3 linked regions of the Coturnix japonica genome follow. The protein of the gene in region 1 interacts with the protein of each later gene in a pairwise test. Links are inferred from orthologs where the notes say so. Each region holds a gene or a part of one and is shown in the gene's direction. Other genes may lie near its edges. The genes, in order: CRYAB, CRYBB2 and LBH.

What was found.
Region 2: the proteins of CRYAB (region 1) and CRYBB2 interact in a two-hybrid assay, tested with the Homo sapiens proteins (2 studies listed by BioGRID and IntAct). The link is inferred for Coturnix japonica from reciprocal best matches to the Homo sapiens genes CRYAB and CRYBB2.
Region 3: the proteins of CRYAB (region 1) and LBH interact in a two-hybrid assay, tested with the Homo sapiens proteins (2 studies listed by BioGRID, with this or other methods). The link is inferred for Coturnix japonica from reciprocal best matches to the Homo sapiens genes CRYAB and LBH.

What each region holds. Positions count from the first base shown.
Region 1 is NC_029539.1:5,448,650-5,453,993, forward strand, and holds the start of CRYAB (alpha-crystallin B chain), read left to right. Parts: upstream 1-2,075; 5' UTR 2,076-2,278; coding exon 2,279-2,476; intron 2,477-2,552; exon of another isoform or gene 2,553-3,486; intron 3,487-4,021; coding exon 4,022-4,144; intron 4,145-5,277; coding exon 5,278-5,344. Other genes in the region: HSPB2 (heat shock protein beta-2), read right to left, coding at 387-660. UniProt on the Homo sapiens protein: May contribute to the transparency and refractive index of the lens. Has chaperone-like activity, preventing aggregation of various proteins under a wide range of stress conditions.
Region 2 is NC_029530.1:6,102,368-6,107,324, forward strand, and holds CRYBB2 (beta-crystallin B2), read left to right. Parts: upstream 1-1,761; 5' UTR 1,762-1,890; intron 1,891-2,261; 5' UTR 2,262-2,282; coding exon 2,283-2,336; intron 2,337-2,660; coding exon 2,661-2,779; intron 2,780-2,956; coding exon 2,957-3,131; intron 3,132-3,377; coding exon 3,378-3,520; intron 3,521-3,673; coding exon 3,674-3,842; 3' UTR 3,843-3,967; downstream 3,968-4,957. UniProt on the Homo sapiens protein: Crystallins are the dominant structural components of the vertebrate eye lens.
Region 3 is NC_029518.1:9,687,156-9,692,503, reverse strand, and holds the start of LBH (protein LBH), read left to right. Parts: upstream 1-2,085; 5' UTR 2,086-2,211; coding exon 2,212-2,237; intron 2,238-2,407; coding exon 2,408-2,510; intron 2,511-5,348. UniProt on the Homo sapiens protein: Transcriptional activator which may act in mitogen-activated protein kinase signaling pathway.

The sequences.
Region 1 (5,344 bases):
CTCACCTCTCCCATGAGCAGGGTGCAGCCTCCACTGGCAAAGGAGATGAGCACTGGAACATGTCCTGCACAGCCTCAGCCTCTGTGAGGTGTGTGTGAGGCAGGGGGCACGAGGGAGCAGCGCTTTGCTCCATGCTGCAGAGCATGTGCATGAATAACAGGCCACTGGAGGCACAGGGGAGGGACACAGGAGCCAGCACTGGGCATGGAAGGAGGAGGTGGACCTTCCTTAGAGAGTCCCTGACTGTGCCTTGGCTATCCTCCTGGTTTTGCCTGGGATCCCATGCTTGGTCTTCCTTGGATCCTGAAGCTCCTCCCCAGAGGGACTCTATCAGCCCCCTGCACCTGAAGACAGAGAACTGCTGGGGGTCCCATCTCCCTGCTTACCTTCTCCAAAGTTCTGGTCGTAGATCTTGCTGGGGTTGGCGAACTCGTACTCTGAGCTCATGGGGTAGGCGTGGGGCACCGTCCGCGCGGCCATGGCAAGCTGAGGAACAGGCCTGTCCAAGCTCTCACTGCCTCTGAGAGCGAAGGCTGCAGATTGCAAGGTTTTAGTTGGGTGAATTCCACAGGGAGGAGTGTGTGATAAAAAGACGGACCAAAATAGCTGTGCACACAGGCCCCGGGCCGCCTCGCCAGGGTGACGAGGGCAGCTCCTCATTGCATTCCTGTAGAGCTGCAGGCTCTGACTGCCGGCGGGGTGCAATCCTGCACCCCCTGGCTCTCCACCTTGGGCAGGGAACAAGAGGCAGGAACAGGGCACCCAGCACTGCCCCTGCCAACCCAGCAGGGCACAGGGCTATGCCTAATGGTGGCTGATGCTTGGTCAGGTTGTGTGCAGTCATGCAAAGTCATCGCTGTGAGTTTATCGCTCATATCAACCCCACAGAAAGGGATCTGTTTCCCCCAGAAGCTGAGTCTTTTGTTCCTGGGAGTGGTAAGGTGCTGCAGACCGCTAAGTGGCACTGAACAGGGTGCAGACCATGATGCTGACACTCCAGAACTGTGCCACTGTGAGCCAGCTGACCAGGCTGTGCCTTGGCCAGGGCTTCAGTGCTGCTCAGTGGGACCAGAGAAATGCCTGTGCTGGAGGTGGTGCATTAACCAGAGTCTGAAACTGGCCTAGATCCACTTTTACTAAACTGGGTGTTAGTACCCATTTAAGCTCCTTGTACTCTGAAACCAGAGATTTCCATGTCTCTGCAGTGCGAGAGAGCAGGTGCACTACTGCTGACGTAACATGGAACTGGATAAAGTATTTATGGCTGGGGCTTCTGCAGAGAGAATTCTACACCCTAATCTTGCAGGCAAGTGAACAGGAAGAGAGTCGAGCCCTTTTGCAGGGGACCGGTGGTGCTAGCAGTGAGAATCATGTGCCCTCAAGCCAGAAGTCTGTATTTAAGTTGCAGATAATCAGAGCTCTTGTCCTTAAAGGACAGCTGCTGGGCTGAACCCAGCCTCATGATCTGAACTGATAGCTGCTGGGCACAGGCAGATCAAGGTAGTTTGCATCCCAGAGAAGGCAAGCAGTGGTGCAGCTCTGCAGGGCTGCTGTGTGCCTGCTTTATCTCTGCTCACAGGGTGCTGGGCTCTTCTGCCCTCTCCAGCAGAGCGATTTCTCGAGTGGGCAAAGGACAAGAGTTGTCAGCTGATGCTCTGTGGAAACCATCCTTAGTGTGCACACACCAGCAGGTGCTCAGGTATGGTGCTCACCAGGCTGCAGAGCTGCACACCAGGGTACCTCAGCACAGACCTTTTGGGGTCCATGTTGCCCTCTCATTAAGGCCTGGGGCTTCCTTCACTTTAAGGGAAGGCAGAGCCCTTCCTTGGCGCGTGGGTGCAGTGGGGAACTGTAGCCTTGGTGCCGTCACTGGGAACAACAGTCCCTTGTCCTTTTCCATGTGAACCAAAGATAGGAGCTGCATTGATCCTGCTGGCATCCAAAGCAGCTGGGAACATCCGCCAAGCCTGCCTGGGACTCAACAGATAAACAGCACGTGGGGTGCAGAGAGGGTGGCTGGGCAGCTTGGCTTCTTGCTGTCCCATTAGTGTCCTTCTTCTCCCCTTCCCCCTCCTCCTTAGCAGTCTGTTCAAACCCCCGGACGCTCCTGGGCACTGCTGAAGGGACCAGTCCCGGACTGGGACAATAAAATCCCTGACACCACTATTTGAGAGGCCTCGGGGGGAGAGGCCCCGCCAGCCGCACGGGTATAAAGCTGCCCCCTGTGCTGGGCACAGCACCGCAGCAGTTGTTTGCTTGGCTCCTCTGTCGCACTCCGATGGATATCACCATTCACAACCCCCTGATCCGCAGACCTCTGTTTTCTTGGTTAACACCGAGCCGTATCTTTGACCAGCTATTTGGAGAGCACCTGCAGGAGTCAGAGCTGCTCCCTACGTCCCCCAGCTTCAGCCCCTTCCTGATGAGATCCCCCTTCTTTCGGATGCCCAGTTGGCTGGAGACGGGACTCTCAGAGGTAATCTTCCTTGCTTACTGTTTCTTGTTACCACTAGGTGCACATCCTGACGGGTCTGGAGCTGGGGACCCGGGAGAGCTGGGACACTGCTTGTAGGTAGTTAATAGGAAATCTATTATGAGGAAAAGAGTGCTGAGTTCTTGCCTCTGCTCCTTGGTGTTAGGCAAGGACCTCTGCACTCTCTGCTAATCACTTGTAACTGAGAGCAAATATTGCCACAGCCATGGGCACAGAGACAAACTGAGCTGTGTGTGTGCTGTGAATGACTGTAGAAGCCAGCAAGAGAAAGGAGGAAGCCTGATTTCTCTGTCTGCCCTGAAAAATTTTACATTCTGCGTCCTCCTGAGAAGCAGAGGGGCAGTGGGACCCCGTGCCAGGCAGCATGGGAGCCCCCAGATGCTGAGTAGAAAGGCCCAAGCTAAAGCATCTCTGCCAGGCAGAGCAGTGTTTTCAGAGAGATATGGGATGGGAGGACCTTTAAATGGCCATCTGCTTCGGGGGCTGAGGCACGCAGCTCAAATGACTTTGCTCAGCATGCAGGTCAGATGCCAATGTGCAAATAACTTAAAGAGTTACTCAAAGCCAGTGGAGTGAGAGGGAAGTATTTTCTTAATCTTTGCTTAATGTTTCCCTTGGTTTAGTCACCTGGTCTGGTCATATGCTGAAGCAGCCATAATAAGCACCACAGGTAACAACATCAACATCTGACTTTTTCAGTGGAGAAATCTTCACAGTAATCTAGCAAAAGGAGCAGGAAGCCCTCCAGGTAAAACTGAGGAAACCAGTAACCAGAAAGCTAGAACTGGCATGGAAGCTGCCTCCATGTCCCAAAACAGAGCTGCAGGAGGCTCGCGTTTTCCCTGACTGTGACTGCAGCAGGAAGGCAGAGACAGCCAGCCTGCATTGCCGTGTCCCACTGACTTATCCAAGACAGGCAGAAAATGCAAATTCAACCTCAGGAGCAAGCAAAAAGCAGCATTTGCTGGAGATGATAAAGTGCAGAATGGAAGGTAAGGATGCAAGATGAGCAGCAGGTGACTCAGAGTTTCAGCAGTAGCCCTGCTGCTCAGATAAGAGGGGTGAGCTGGTAGTGCTGCTCAGCTGAGACACGCTATTTTTGTTTTTAAAGAGTGACGACGCAGGGGAAAGCCTGCAAGTGACACAGATGAGCTGCAGCCAGCTGCACACTCTGTTTCTTTTTCCAGAAAGACTTAGCAAAATCCAGCTGCAGAGACTGGAAATCTCCAGACACCTCAGAAAAAGTAGATAGGAGTCAGTTTTAACAAATTCAGATTGAGAAAGTCTCTTTCTTATTTCCCAGAAAATATCTATTCTCTGTTTATCCAGAGAGAAAGCATCATGTTTTATGTGCTGTAGTGGTGGGCATGAATGGAACAGGCTAGCAAGAGCCAGATGAGAACCCCAGGACTGAAAACAGGAGGTCAGACAGTGCGTGTGGGGAGCCCAGCGTGAGCGTGACTTGCTGCATGTTGAGAGTCTGATGAAGCTGAAACCTCTGCCTGAAGTCGTCTCCTTGTTTTACAGATGCGACTGGAGAAAGACAAATTTTCTGTAAATCTTGATGTGAAGCATTTCTCCCCCGAGGAGCTAAAAGTGAAGGTGATTGGGGACATGATAGAAATTCATGGGAAACACGAGGAGCGCCAGGTACTTCTGTGTCACTGTTAACCAATGTGTGCTTCTTCACCTATGGTTAAACAAGGAAGCTGCAGAACAATCCTCCTCTGTGCTCTTCTGAAACACTTCCAGTGTTTTTGATCAACCAGTCCTAATGGAAGATGCTCTATGCAAACCCCCAGCTGATCCCAGACTGGGCAGCAGCAGAGTGGAGATTTAGTGCTGGTATTGCATGAACTGTGAACTGAACTGGAAAATCAACTTTGAAATAAGCATTTCCGGGCCTCCCTCTTTCTGGAAGAGGACAGGAATGCAGAGAAGCATTCAATAAGTTAACAATGAGCTGTAATAATTAAACCGCATAACGAATGAATGCATTGCCATGTTCCATTAGCAAGAAGCTATCTCTTCTTGAAAAAATACCCATTTACCAACTTACAGTCCTTAAAGGCTGTACTCTGCTGTCAGCCATCCCATTGCTTACTGGCTCTGTGGCAAAAGGTCAAAGAGAGGCCAAAAGCCACGTCCAAAGCTGTATGTAACAGGGATTACCTATCCTCCTATCCTTGCAAGAAGGAAACAAATCCTAAAGTACCTGTATCATTGTACCCATCAGCTCCAAAACTTCTGGGTGCCCAGATCTGTCAGTCAAATGCAGCACTACTCATAGACACTGGAAGCCTGTAATTCTGAAATAGCTTCTGCGGGGTTTTTTTTGTTTGTTTGTTTTTTGTTTGTTTTGGCTAAGAAATGAATCCAGAGCTAGAGCTGAGATGAGCTCACTGGGGAGCTGCATATGCTGTGGGCCCTGGAGACCCTCAGGAGGAGGAGCTGCTGGTTCTGCAGGTAGCTGTAACTCCTGCATCTTAGCCATGACAGCACAACACTGTGAAACGAAGCTGGCAGACACAAGAGCTGGAGGAGAAAGCCTCATCCTGCAAAGGGTGCCTGCACCACCTGCAGGGGCAGGGTAATCTCACTTCAGCTCTTCTCAGATTTTTACAAAGGCAATCTCATAATAAAAACTCTTTTAACTTACTGAAAAGTTTTCTTTTGGGAGCTGAAGCTTTCTCAACTCAGACTATGTGCTGAAGGCCCATAGTTTAGGTGGAGCTGAGGGAACACTTCTAATCAGGGCTGTTTCTTCTCTTCTCTTTTTGAAGGATGAGCATGGCTTTATTGCCAGGGAGTTCAGCAGGAAATACAGGATCCCAGCTGAAGTGGATCCCC
Region 2 (4,957 bases), on another chromosome or scaffold:
CTTCTCAAAGCATCTGCCTGGGCCGTGGGAGCGCTGCCCCTGAGCACAGTGGGACCAAAGGGGACGTGGGCAGCTCACACACAGTGCAGCACCCAGAGCGGGGCTGACCCATAGCTGGGCTGTGCCCCATGTATAAACCCCCCAGAGCCCTACACAGCCCCTCAGCCTCCTGTGCATCCCTCATCCCTGGGGCTGTTCCTGCACTGCACACTGCAGCACTCAGCCACCTACAGAGCTGTTGCTCCCCAGGCTGATCTCCCCAGTTCTTCCCAACAGCCACTTTGGTTGCAAATGCATTTTGTGCTGCGTGTCCCACTGTGAGCTCAGTGCTGGCATGACCTTGGCTGTGAACATGGCCCCGGTGCCAACCAGGTGCACGGAGCATCTCTTGTGCCCTGCCCTGCTGCTCCTGCAGTGCTGGGTTGGGCTGCCCTGGATGGGACAGGCAGGAGGGCTGAGCCTTGAGGCCAACTTCTGGACCCTGTTGTGAGTCCTAAAATTAGAGGAGGACACATCCTGACACTTGTGTGGGTACCATGAGCAGCTGCATGGGGCATGGAAGCGGTAATGGTGTCTGGGACTGGCAGCAGGGATGGCAGATGGGTCACAGCTGCCTGAACACCCCACATGTGTGGTTGTATGGGACACATGGGGACATATTAGTGGGCACAGTGGGGGTGGGTTTGAGTTGGACCAGATAAAGACCTTTCTCTACCCACTTTTACGGTTCTCTTCTTGGTGCTGGGGCACATGCCGTCACCCTGGGCTGGGGGTTCCCTTGTGTGGGATGCTGGTGGCAGCTGAGCATGGGGCCACTCATCACACTGTATGACTCTGCCCCCAGCACTGGGGATGGAGAAGGATCCTGCTCTGGATGTTTCATCAATAGATCATGTACCAGAGCTGCCAAAAGCCATCCCTCATGTGAAGCAGCTTCCTGCACTCACAGCTCTATGTGGCCCCATGGTGGGGCTTCCTGAGCCCCACATTGTGCTCAGATTGTGGCACTGACTCCATGTGCTGCATCAGGGCGAGTGTTGATGGACATCCTCAGGCAGAGGAGCTCTGGGGTCCTTCCATGATGCTGGGACAGGAGGAGCTGCAGGTGGGGGTACAGACCCTGCAGAACACCCTGGAAGTGCTACTCTGCTCTGTGCTAATGCTGTGTGCCACAAGGGGTGACAAGGGAGGGGTCTGCTGCTGCTAGGGGAACTCAGAGCCATGAGCCCCCCAGGAAAAACAGCTTGGACACAAGTGGGATCCTGCAGGCACCGTGTAGGTGCAGAGCTTGCAGGATCCAACAGCGTCTTTGTCCCCATGTGCTGATGGGACCCACACTGAGTCACTGCTGGGGGCCCCAAAAAGGGGTTGGGGCTACAGGAGGACCCCCCAGAGCTCACCCAGCTCAACACAGTGCTGGGTAACTCAGGTGGTTTGCAGTCGGAGCCCTCGGGTTGGCATTGCAGGAGGGAAGTGCTGAGGGCAGCAGTTGGGGCGCTCGCGGCGGTTTGTCGGAGGGATCAATTCCCTGGCTCCAAAACTCCTGAAGCAGGGCTGGCGGGCCTTTGTTCACACAAGGGTCGCTCTGGGTCTTGGCATGCGTTCGGCTGATGCATGCAAACTCCAAATCTCCTTGCCAACAAACCCAACAAAGCGGGTGAGGCGAATGTGAAAGCTAATGAAATAACTCCGACTTGGGGGTTTCGGGAGACAATGGCCCGGCGGGGTCAGCTGACCGAGGTTTTCATTGGGGTTTAATCCAGCATTCTCGCTTTGAATCATGCTGTAGCTATTTGGTAAATAGTCTGGGCATGGTTCTGCTGTGAGGCGGTATAAATTCCACCTCTCGGCCCCAGCCCTCCACTGGCTCAGGCGGTACTGGTCTCACTGGTAAGGATTCTCTCTTTTTGTCCTATCCTTTCTGGGTTCGTTTCTACCCTGTCTTGTAGTTTTCACCTGGACAACTGGGCAACCCATGGGCAGTGCTGCCCAAAGCTGGGCACTAAGTCAGACATAAGACTTTTGACCAGAACCGCCCCATTTTGTGGCTGTTTGGTGCACAGAGCCCATCCCAGCTCTGCGCTGGGACCCTCACTCACCCCATGGGGAACAGGGCTTCAACCTACGAGCAGCACAGTGGGGGACGTGGTCAGGCTGGGGGTCAGCATGGTTCAGCGCTGGGTATGGGGTGCAGATGTGGGCACAGAGCTGGGGCCACAAGCACAGTCTGGTAGCCATTAATGCTGAGCTTCCCCCCAAAGAAGCAGCGTGCCCAGCTGAGCATGGCTTCCGAACACCAGATGCCGGCCTCCAAGCAGCAGCCCGCCAGCTCCAAGGTCAGTCTGTGGGACTGGGGTACCCCGAGCCCCTCTGGGCTCCCCAACTGCAGCTCCAATGCTGGGGTGGCCATGAGGCTGCTCTGCCCTTTGGGGTGTCATCTATGACCAAGGCATCCCAGGGACCTGGGATCTGATTCCAGTCCCCTGCCATCCCCACAGATGTGATCTGAGATGAGATCTCCTGCTGCCCCACTGAACCATGAAATCAGTGTTGAGCTGGCAGCTGGTTGTGCCATGAGGGTGGGGGGCCCTATGGTCAGTGCCTGTGTTTTGGGGTCAGTGTGGGCCATGCCCTGCTCTCATGGCCACGTTCTCCTGCAGATTGCCATCTTCGAGCAGGAGAACTTCCAGGGCCGCTGCCATGAGCTCAGTGGTGCCTGCCCCAACCTGAAGGATGCCGGTGTGGACAAAGTGGGCTCCATTCTGGTGCACTCTGGACCGTACGTTGGTGGAGGTTTGGGCTCCAGGGGGGAGGGATATACCTGGGTTTGCCTTAGATGGAGGCTGCTCCCCCTGCACTGCAGTGCTCATTGGGTTTTATAGGATGTTGAAGAGGGGGCATGGCTGGGGGGCTCATCCCAGCCCCCCCTTGAAGCCCACCCTCTGCTCCCTTCCAGCTGGGTGGGCTACGAGCAGGCAAGCTGCAAGGGTGAGCAGTTTGTGTTTGAGAAGGGGGAGTACCCCCGCTGGGACTCCTGGACCAACAGCCGGAGAAGTGACAGCATCACCTCCCTGAGACCCATCAAAGTGGTGAGAGCACCCCGACAGCCACTACCCACCCGCCAGACCAAGGTCTGCAGCCCGATGGCTTCCCCCGCCTTCCCCCGCCCTCCCCAGCCCCGCGGGCGGAGGGGCAGAACTCAGGGACCCCCAGGGGGTGGTTGGGATGGGGAGTGGTGCCCCGAGAGCTGAGGGTGGCTGCTGGGGGGCGCGGCGGGGGGACCCCTTGCCTCAGTTTCCCCACGGCCCCAAGCTTTGCCCCCTGCCCAGCCCTGGGGCTGGCAGTGCTGATCCCCACCTCCACTCTCCCCACTGCAGGACAGCCAGGAGCACAAGATTGTGCTGTATGAGAACCCCAGCTTCACCGGCAAGAAAATTGAGATCATCGATGACGATGTGCCCAGCTTCCATGCGCATGGCTACCAGGAGAAGGTCTCCTCTGTGAGGGTGCAGAGTGGCACGTGAGTATGGGGCGAGGGGAGCCAATGATGTGCCCACGTGGCACCACGCTATGACCATCCCGTGGCCATTGGGTTGTATTGTGGCCATTGGGTTGTGTTGTGGCCACTGGGCCGCGTCATGGCCATTGAGTCATGCCTTGTGCTTGCCCGCAGGTGGGTGGGCTATCAGTACCCTGGCTACCGAGGCTACCAGTACCTCTTTGAGAAGGGTGACTACAAAGACAGCTCCGAGTTCGGTGCCCAGCACCCTCAGATCCAGTCGGTGCGGCGCATTCGGGACATGCAGTGGCATCAGCGCGGCGCTTATCACCCCTCCAACTGAAGGCCCTGCACTGCCGGGCACAGGGGGCTGAGCGCTGCCCCCACCTGCCGCTGCCCCCACGGCCTCACTTCCCATCTCCCTCCGTGTGAGTCACACCGCAACCGAATAAAGCTTGGAGTTGCAAAGTTGCTGGTCCGGGTCCTTCCTTGGTGGGCACCCAGTGGTCACCTCCCTGTGTATGGGCTGTGGGGATGGAGATGCTCGCATCACCGTGGGGTCTGCAGGGTGGGTGGGTGTCCAGCCTGCACAGCTGTCCTCAGAGCACCCTGGTGGCTGGGTGGATACCTCAATGCTTAATAAAGCAGTTATTAAGCACTACTGATGCTTAATAGTGTTGCTTAATGACTTCTTTAACCCATAATAAGCCTGTAATTTAGCATTAAAAACACTAAATAGCACCTCAATCATTTGCACTCTGAGTTGAGCTGCTGAGCGCCAGCTCCAGTGCAGCACTGCATGCAGGGCTGTGGGGACTGCACAGCTGCAGCACTTCTTGGTTCCCCCCTGCAGCATCACCATGGCTGCGTGTTGCAGTGCATGCACGCAGAGCTGCACCTGGAGCAAGAGGTGCAGGATACAAGGGTGGGTGGCACAGCTGGGTTGAGTGCATTACTTGTACCCAAGCATGGGCTCCAATGGGGTCTGATGGAGACACAGGCACAGCAGCCATATCCCTGCACATGGGGATGCTCTGCTGTGGGTTTGGCACCGATGCAGCCAAATGGGGACACCAGGGGCTGTCAGCCCTACAAGTGGGGCTTTGCACCCCCATGCCCCGCATCACCATCGGCTCTGGCACAGCCCCACACTGTGCAGCATTAATCATCCACCAAATGCCGCTCGGAAATGTCAGCCCCGCTGTGCATCGTGCTTGGCAGCGCCTCGCTGCGTCGCCTCGGCGGAACCGGCTGCCTGCAGATATCTGTGCCAAGGGAAAAACATCAGAACCATCCCAGCACTGAGCATTTCTGCTGGGAGAAACGGGTTTGATGAGCGTGCTGACACTGCCCATGTGCTGCTGCCATTGCCGGGTCCCAGCAGAGGGGTTTGGGCTGTCAGGAGGAAACTGCAGCATCTGGGAGGGGGGAAACATCACTGTAAGAGTGGGGTAAGGA
Region 3 (5,348 bases), on another chromosome or scaffold:
GGGGGAGGGTGGTGATTCAGTGAAGGATCCAATTTTTCAAATGAAGATATTTTCCATACACCGATTCTGGCCAAAACGCATTTCATTTACGCTGACAGGATATAAATACCAACACAGACACACTTTGTTCCCAGTTTGCCCTTCTGTGTTCCTGCTGCATCCAGGCCTTGCTACACGTCTGCTGCCTCTTTGCTGGGGCTGTGCTGGGCAGGGGAGGGCAGCCCATTGCTCCGTGTTCCTCAGCACTGGTGGCTGGTGTGAGCACAGAGCAAGCTCTGCAGGTTCAGAAGGCTGCAGTGAAATGACATTTTAGATATATCATCTGTGTGTGTAACGCAGAAATACCGTGCTAGGTGTCAGCAGGGCCAGGTTTGGCAGAACAGACGTGATGCCTCTTGCAGTAGGCACCAGAAGGAGGTGCTAGCGGGACACATATATGAGCCAAGTGAGGGCTCTCTGAGCACCAAGCTCTGCTTTCAGGCCTGATCCTGCCTTGCTCAGCACACACTTGAATGCATCCAAGCCCAGGGTGCTGGGTGAGACACTGGCCAGCAGGGACAGTGTTCACGTGATGCATCATCATTAGCAACAGAGAAGAAAAGAAAGTCAGGTGGAAAATGGGCTTGTTGCATGGCTACTTCTGGGTTCCTGAACCAGTGGTATGTCTGTGACCTCCATCCCATCCTCCCTTCTGCTCTCCTTTGCTCACCCACCACAGCTGGGCCAGCAAAGGTCCCAAACCAGCAAAGCTCTACAGCCAAAGCCTATTGATCAGGACAAGCCCGAGGGCTCTGGCACACAGGACCACTCACCCACCAGCCCCTCTAGGCCTTCTGCTCCCTTTTTTTTTCAAGCATGGGCCAGTAGTCACTGCAAAAGGCAACACTGTGCAGAAAATGGCTGGAAGGAAAGAGTGGCAGCCTTTTATTTCTATTTTTTTTTTTTTTTACATGAGGAAATAAATAGGGCATGTCCTTTAGCCAGTGTCAGGAGGAAGGGGTCAGTGCCAGGTGGGGCAGCATGCAGGTCTTATGTTCCAGTGGTCAGTTCCAAGTGAGGAGTTTATTTGCTTAGATACTTTCCCTGAAGGACATGGGGCTGTGAGCTCCTGTGAGCCGGATGGAGGCGAAAACATGGGTGTCATGGCACCAGTGATGGCTGCTTGAGCAGCCCGACCCATCCCTTGGCCAGAAGGATACTGCAGTGTGTGTGGATGCAGGGGATCTGAGATGGCAGAGATGCCGTGGACCCCACAGCTACCACACCATCAACCCCAGAGCTGTCTGCCTTCATGCAAGTGAATGTAAATGCAATGAGAAGCCCCCGAGGACTTCTTAAAGGTGGGACAGAGCTGCAGTGCTGCCAGTGCACACCTCAGCCAGAGCAGATCTCTCTTCTCGTGCTTCAGCCCTTCTCCAAAAGGACAATTAATGTACCTATGGCTAATTATATGGATGAGTCTCACAGCGGCTTCCTGCCAAAGAGAGCACTAACAGCAACAACCCTCAAGCTCCCGTGCTGAGCCTGAGCCAGGTTTGTTCCTGGTGGCATCGGAGGGAACTGAGCACCCCCAGCCCAGACGTCAATTGTTCAGCCTCAGAAACGTGCTTTGCAGGCTGAGCCTCGTCCAGCCTTAGGACAGAGCACAGCAGCCTTAGGACAGATCTCATCAGCCTTAGGACAGAGCCCACCAGCCTTAGGACAGATTCCATCAGCAGAGCAGTGAGGGACCCTCAGGGCTCACCTGTACCCACCTGAGCTCCCATGAGCTGGGTCAGCTCCTTGGGACTGGCAGTAATGTGACACAGGGGAGGAGATGCCTGATGTCAAACACCCACATACGCCATCATTATATAATATCAAACTAAGAAGCTTACAATATCCGGCCGGAGGAATCACACACACCTATGCCCGCATGCACACGTGTACGGAGCACAACCGAGGGCACCCATTGAACCTCGCAGCCATCTCCGAGCTCTGCCCCCCGGAGCGGCGCTCCGAAGCCATTCATGAAATGCTGCCGTCATTCGGAGGGGCGGGCACTGATGAGGCCATGCCCCCTCAGCTATTTAAGGCGGCTCGGCGCTGCCGCCGGGGCTCAGAGCTGCTGCGGCGTTTGGGTTCTCTGTGTGGTCCCGTCCAACATCAGCCTCGTGTGCCTCGGTGCCCTGCCGCCACCCCCAGGGCGTGGGCAGCCTCCGCAGGGACTTCATGTCTGTGCTTTGTCCCCTGCCCTGGTGAGTGGGCACTGCTGCCGCCCTATCCGGGGGTCGTGCGGCGGTGCTGAGCCCCGTTGTTCCGTCTCCTGCCCGCAGGAGTTGGTTGGGGTGGGGGCACGGAGGGAGCGGCGACCCTCGGTCCTCCCCGGAGCCCTGACGTTGGTCTGAATGATGTTCTTTGTTTCCAGCCCCGATTACCTGAGATCAGCCGAGATGACCGAAGTGATGATGAGCAGCCCGGCTATGGATGAGATCGGACTCAGCCCCCGTAAGGACGGGCTCTCGTATCAAGTGAGTATTCGATTCCCTGCGGAGCTGCCTGGGCTGGACCGTGGTGAATATTATAGCAAGTCCTGCAGTAAGGGCTGGTCAGTGAGCTGAGACGCTTGCTTGGCTAGTAGAATCTGTGTAAAATACGGCATAGTTATCTGCTCCGAGTGCTTAGCAGAGTGCTTTGTTCCTGAAGTGCCCAAATCCCAGCTTGTTGGGTGTGCACAGAGGCTCAGTGGGAGAGGAGATGCCCTGCCGGAAAGGTCCGTGTCAGACACCAGGCTGAGAGGCTGCTGGGGTCTCCACAACCATGGCTTGCAAATGAGTTGTCTGAAGCGGAAGGGACTTGTCTGTACAGCGCTTAAATCTTCCAAGCTATTCCTTGGTTTTCCCCCTGTTTGAAAGGGTTAAGTCTATTGTAAGATACAGAGAGGCTGGGTGCAGCGCTGACGAGCCTTGAGGTGTGCGTGCAAACACATTACCTGAAGGCATGAGCTGCATCCATTCTGCAACTGGTGAATAATGTAATTAGCTTTTAACCTCTTAGTCAATAGCTGAGGCAAAGGGGTGCTTTCAAACTCCAGCCTCTATCCTTCAGCCTCAGTGCTTCCAGTCAATCACAGGGTGAGCTGTGTATCTTTGCCTATTAGATCCAAGTTTCCCTACTCTGGCAGACTTGTTGGTGAGGTTTAATACATGCACAGCTCTTGTGTTACTCTGCACAGGGTGACTCTTCATGGCAGATTGCAGTACAGAGTTCTTCCTTTGCAGATGTGACACAGCCCATACGGAGGCACTTGCTCTACGTGGGCATTCGGATATTAGGTGTGCTGTTGTACACTTGCATATTTATGTCTGAAAAATGAGCTAGGAGCCTGTGACAGTGCTCTGAAGCATGAAATCAACAGAACTTTGGGCCGTGGCTCGGGCAGAAGCCAAAGCTGTGGGAGGGGAGGGGGGGGGAGGATAAATAGGGTTGCATTGCTTTTTTTGGTCAGAATTCTCCATCTGAACAGTGCAAATAATTTGGTTTATTGCCTGTTTGTGGAAATAGCTGTTTTGTTTTAGTGCTTGAGTTAGTGGAAAGCATATGGCCTCGCTTTCCTCTGCTATAGAGAATGTGTAACTGCAGTGGGAATGGCTGTGAGAGTTGAAGCTATTGCACTAGTCTTTGCCAGATGTTCAAACAAGTGTCTTAAATGGGGCACTGTATGCAGGCCCACTCAGGTCTGATATTGGTTTGCTTATCTAAACAGTGGGAGACAGATGGATGCCCCACTTATTCATGACTGATAGCTTCAGTGAGGTTTTACCCCTAGTGCTGATGCCCTCAGTGAGTCTGTGAACTGGAGAGCAAACCTGCAGCTTTGAGTGGATCATCTGAACCTGAGGGTGCTGTAAATGCAACGACTCACATCTATGCAGGACTTGTCTATCTTGGATCTGTTCTCTGTAGTGATCTGGTCACAGGGTTCTCAGTGCCCACAGGAGCTGCTAACTGCCTGCTAGACTTTGGCTTCCTTGTAAGCTGAACTGATGGCAGAAAGGCCTGGAGTATTGAGAGGGCAGCTGCTGCTGAGCGGTGTGTGGGCTGGGGATGAGGTCTGCCTCTAAATCAGGTTAGTGCAAAGAAGATTGAGAGTAGGTTGCAACCTTCTTCCTTTTAACTGCGTGGCTGAAAATGTGGCTGTGCAAAGTGAGAAGTTGAAATCATCCTTAAGCAGCTGAAAATTGAAGTTAAAATAGCAAGGACAAATCAAGTGCAAATAGTATCACAAACCTGTTTTGTCTTGGGGTTTGGAACTTCTTGCTTCGTCCTGCTGATGGAGGGCGTTGGGTATGTGTGAAATGGTATGCTGCTCTGAGAGCTGTAGTGCAATAACTTAAAACCAGGCAGAGCTAACAGAGCATGACTGCTCTGGCTCTGAGGCTTGAGCTAAGCTGCAGCATCCTCCCTCACCCACCTGCAGAGCAGCGTGCTCACAGTGAGTGTGACCACTCTTGGCTACAGGAAAAGAAACAGTGGATCCAGAGCTATGAGAGCTGAGCTTCTAGTTTCCAGAGCTTCTTATGTAGTAGAACTTGGATTTGTTCTCCTGCAGAGATGACATGAAGCTGGGGTCCATTGTGCTGCCCTTGGGGCTGTGCGGAGAAGGATCTGGGACCTACCTCATCAATTACTGTTCTGAAGTACTTTTGTTTTCCTAGTAAAGCCTTGGAAGTAAACTGAGGAAACCAACACCTCCAGAGCGTAAACAAGCAGTTGGGTTCTTTCACCCCATAATACTGAACATCAGGTCTCCTGCCTGTCTCACTGGTTACCTTCTGATGGAACTTGTGGCTCGTCAGCTTTTCTTCTACCCTCTCCGTGTCTCATATCACACTCCAGAGTGTGCTTATATGTCCCCATGAGGTGTGCATCCCCCAGCCATGTTTCCTGGTGTTCTTTAGGTTGGACACGACTGTGATGATGTGAAAACCTGAGCTGCAGAAGTCTCATACCTATGATAACTGAGCTGTCTGTGTAGGCTTAGTAATTTGTATGTGGTTTCATTTGCACAATGTGCTTTCTCAGCACAGATACCTTTTTCCAGTTAGCGTGCCAAATGCTTGCAAGCTGATGTGCAAACTTCAAAGCCTTTTAGTACGGAGCGGCTTTTATTCCTGCATCTGTGAAGTAAAGCTGCTCTGAGCCTACTGAAGGTGGTGGAAGTGAATGGGGAAATCTGGATGCGAGTCTCGGAGCAGGGAGGCACAGACAAAACAGAAGATGCAGCTGAGGAGGTGATGTCATGCTGGGTCTTGTGCCTGCAGTGGAGAGCTATTTCTGGATCTTTAATAGACATCCCATAATTCCCA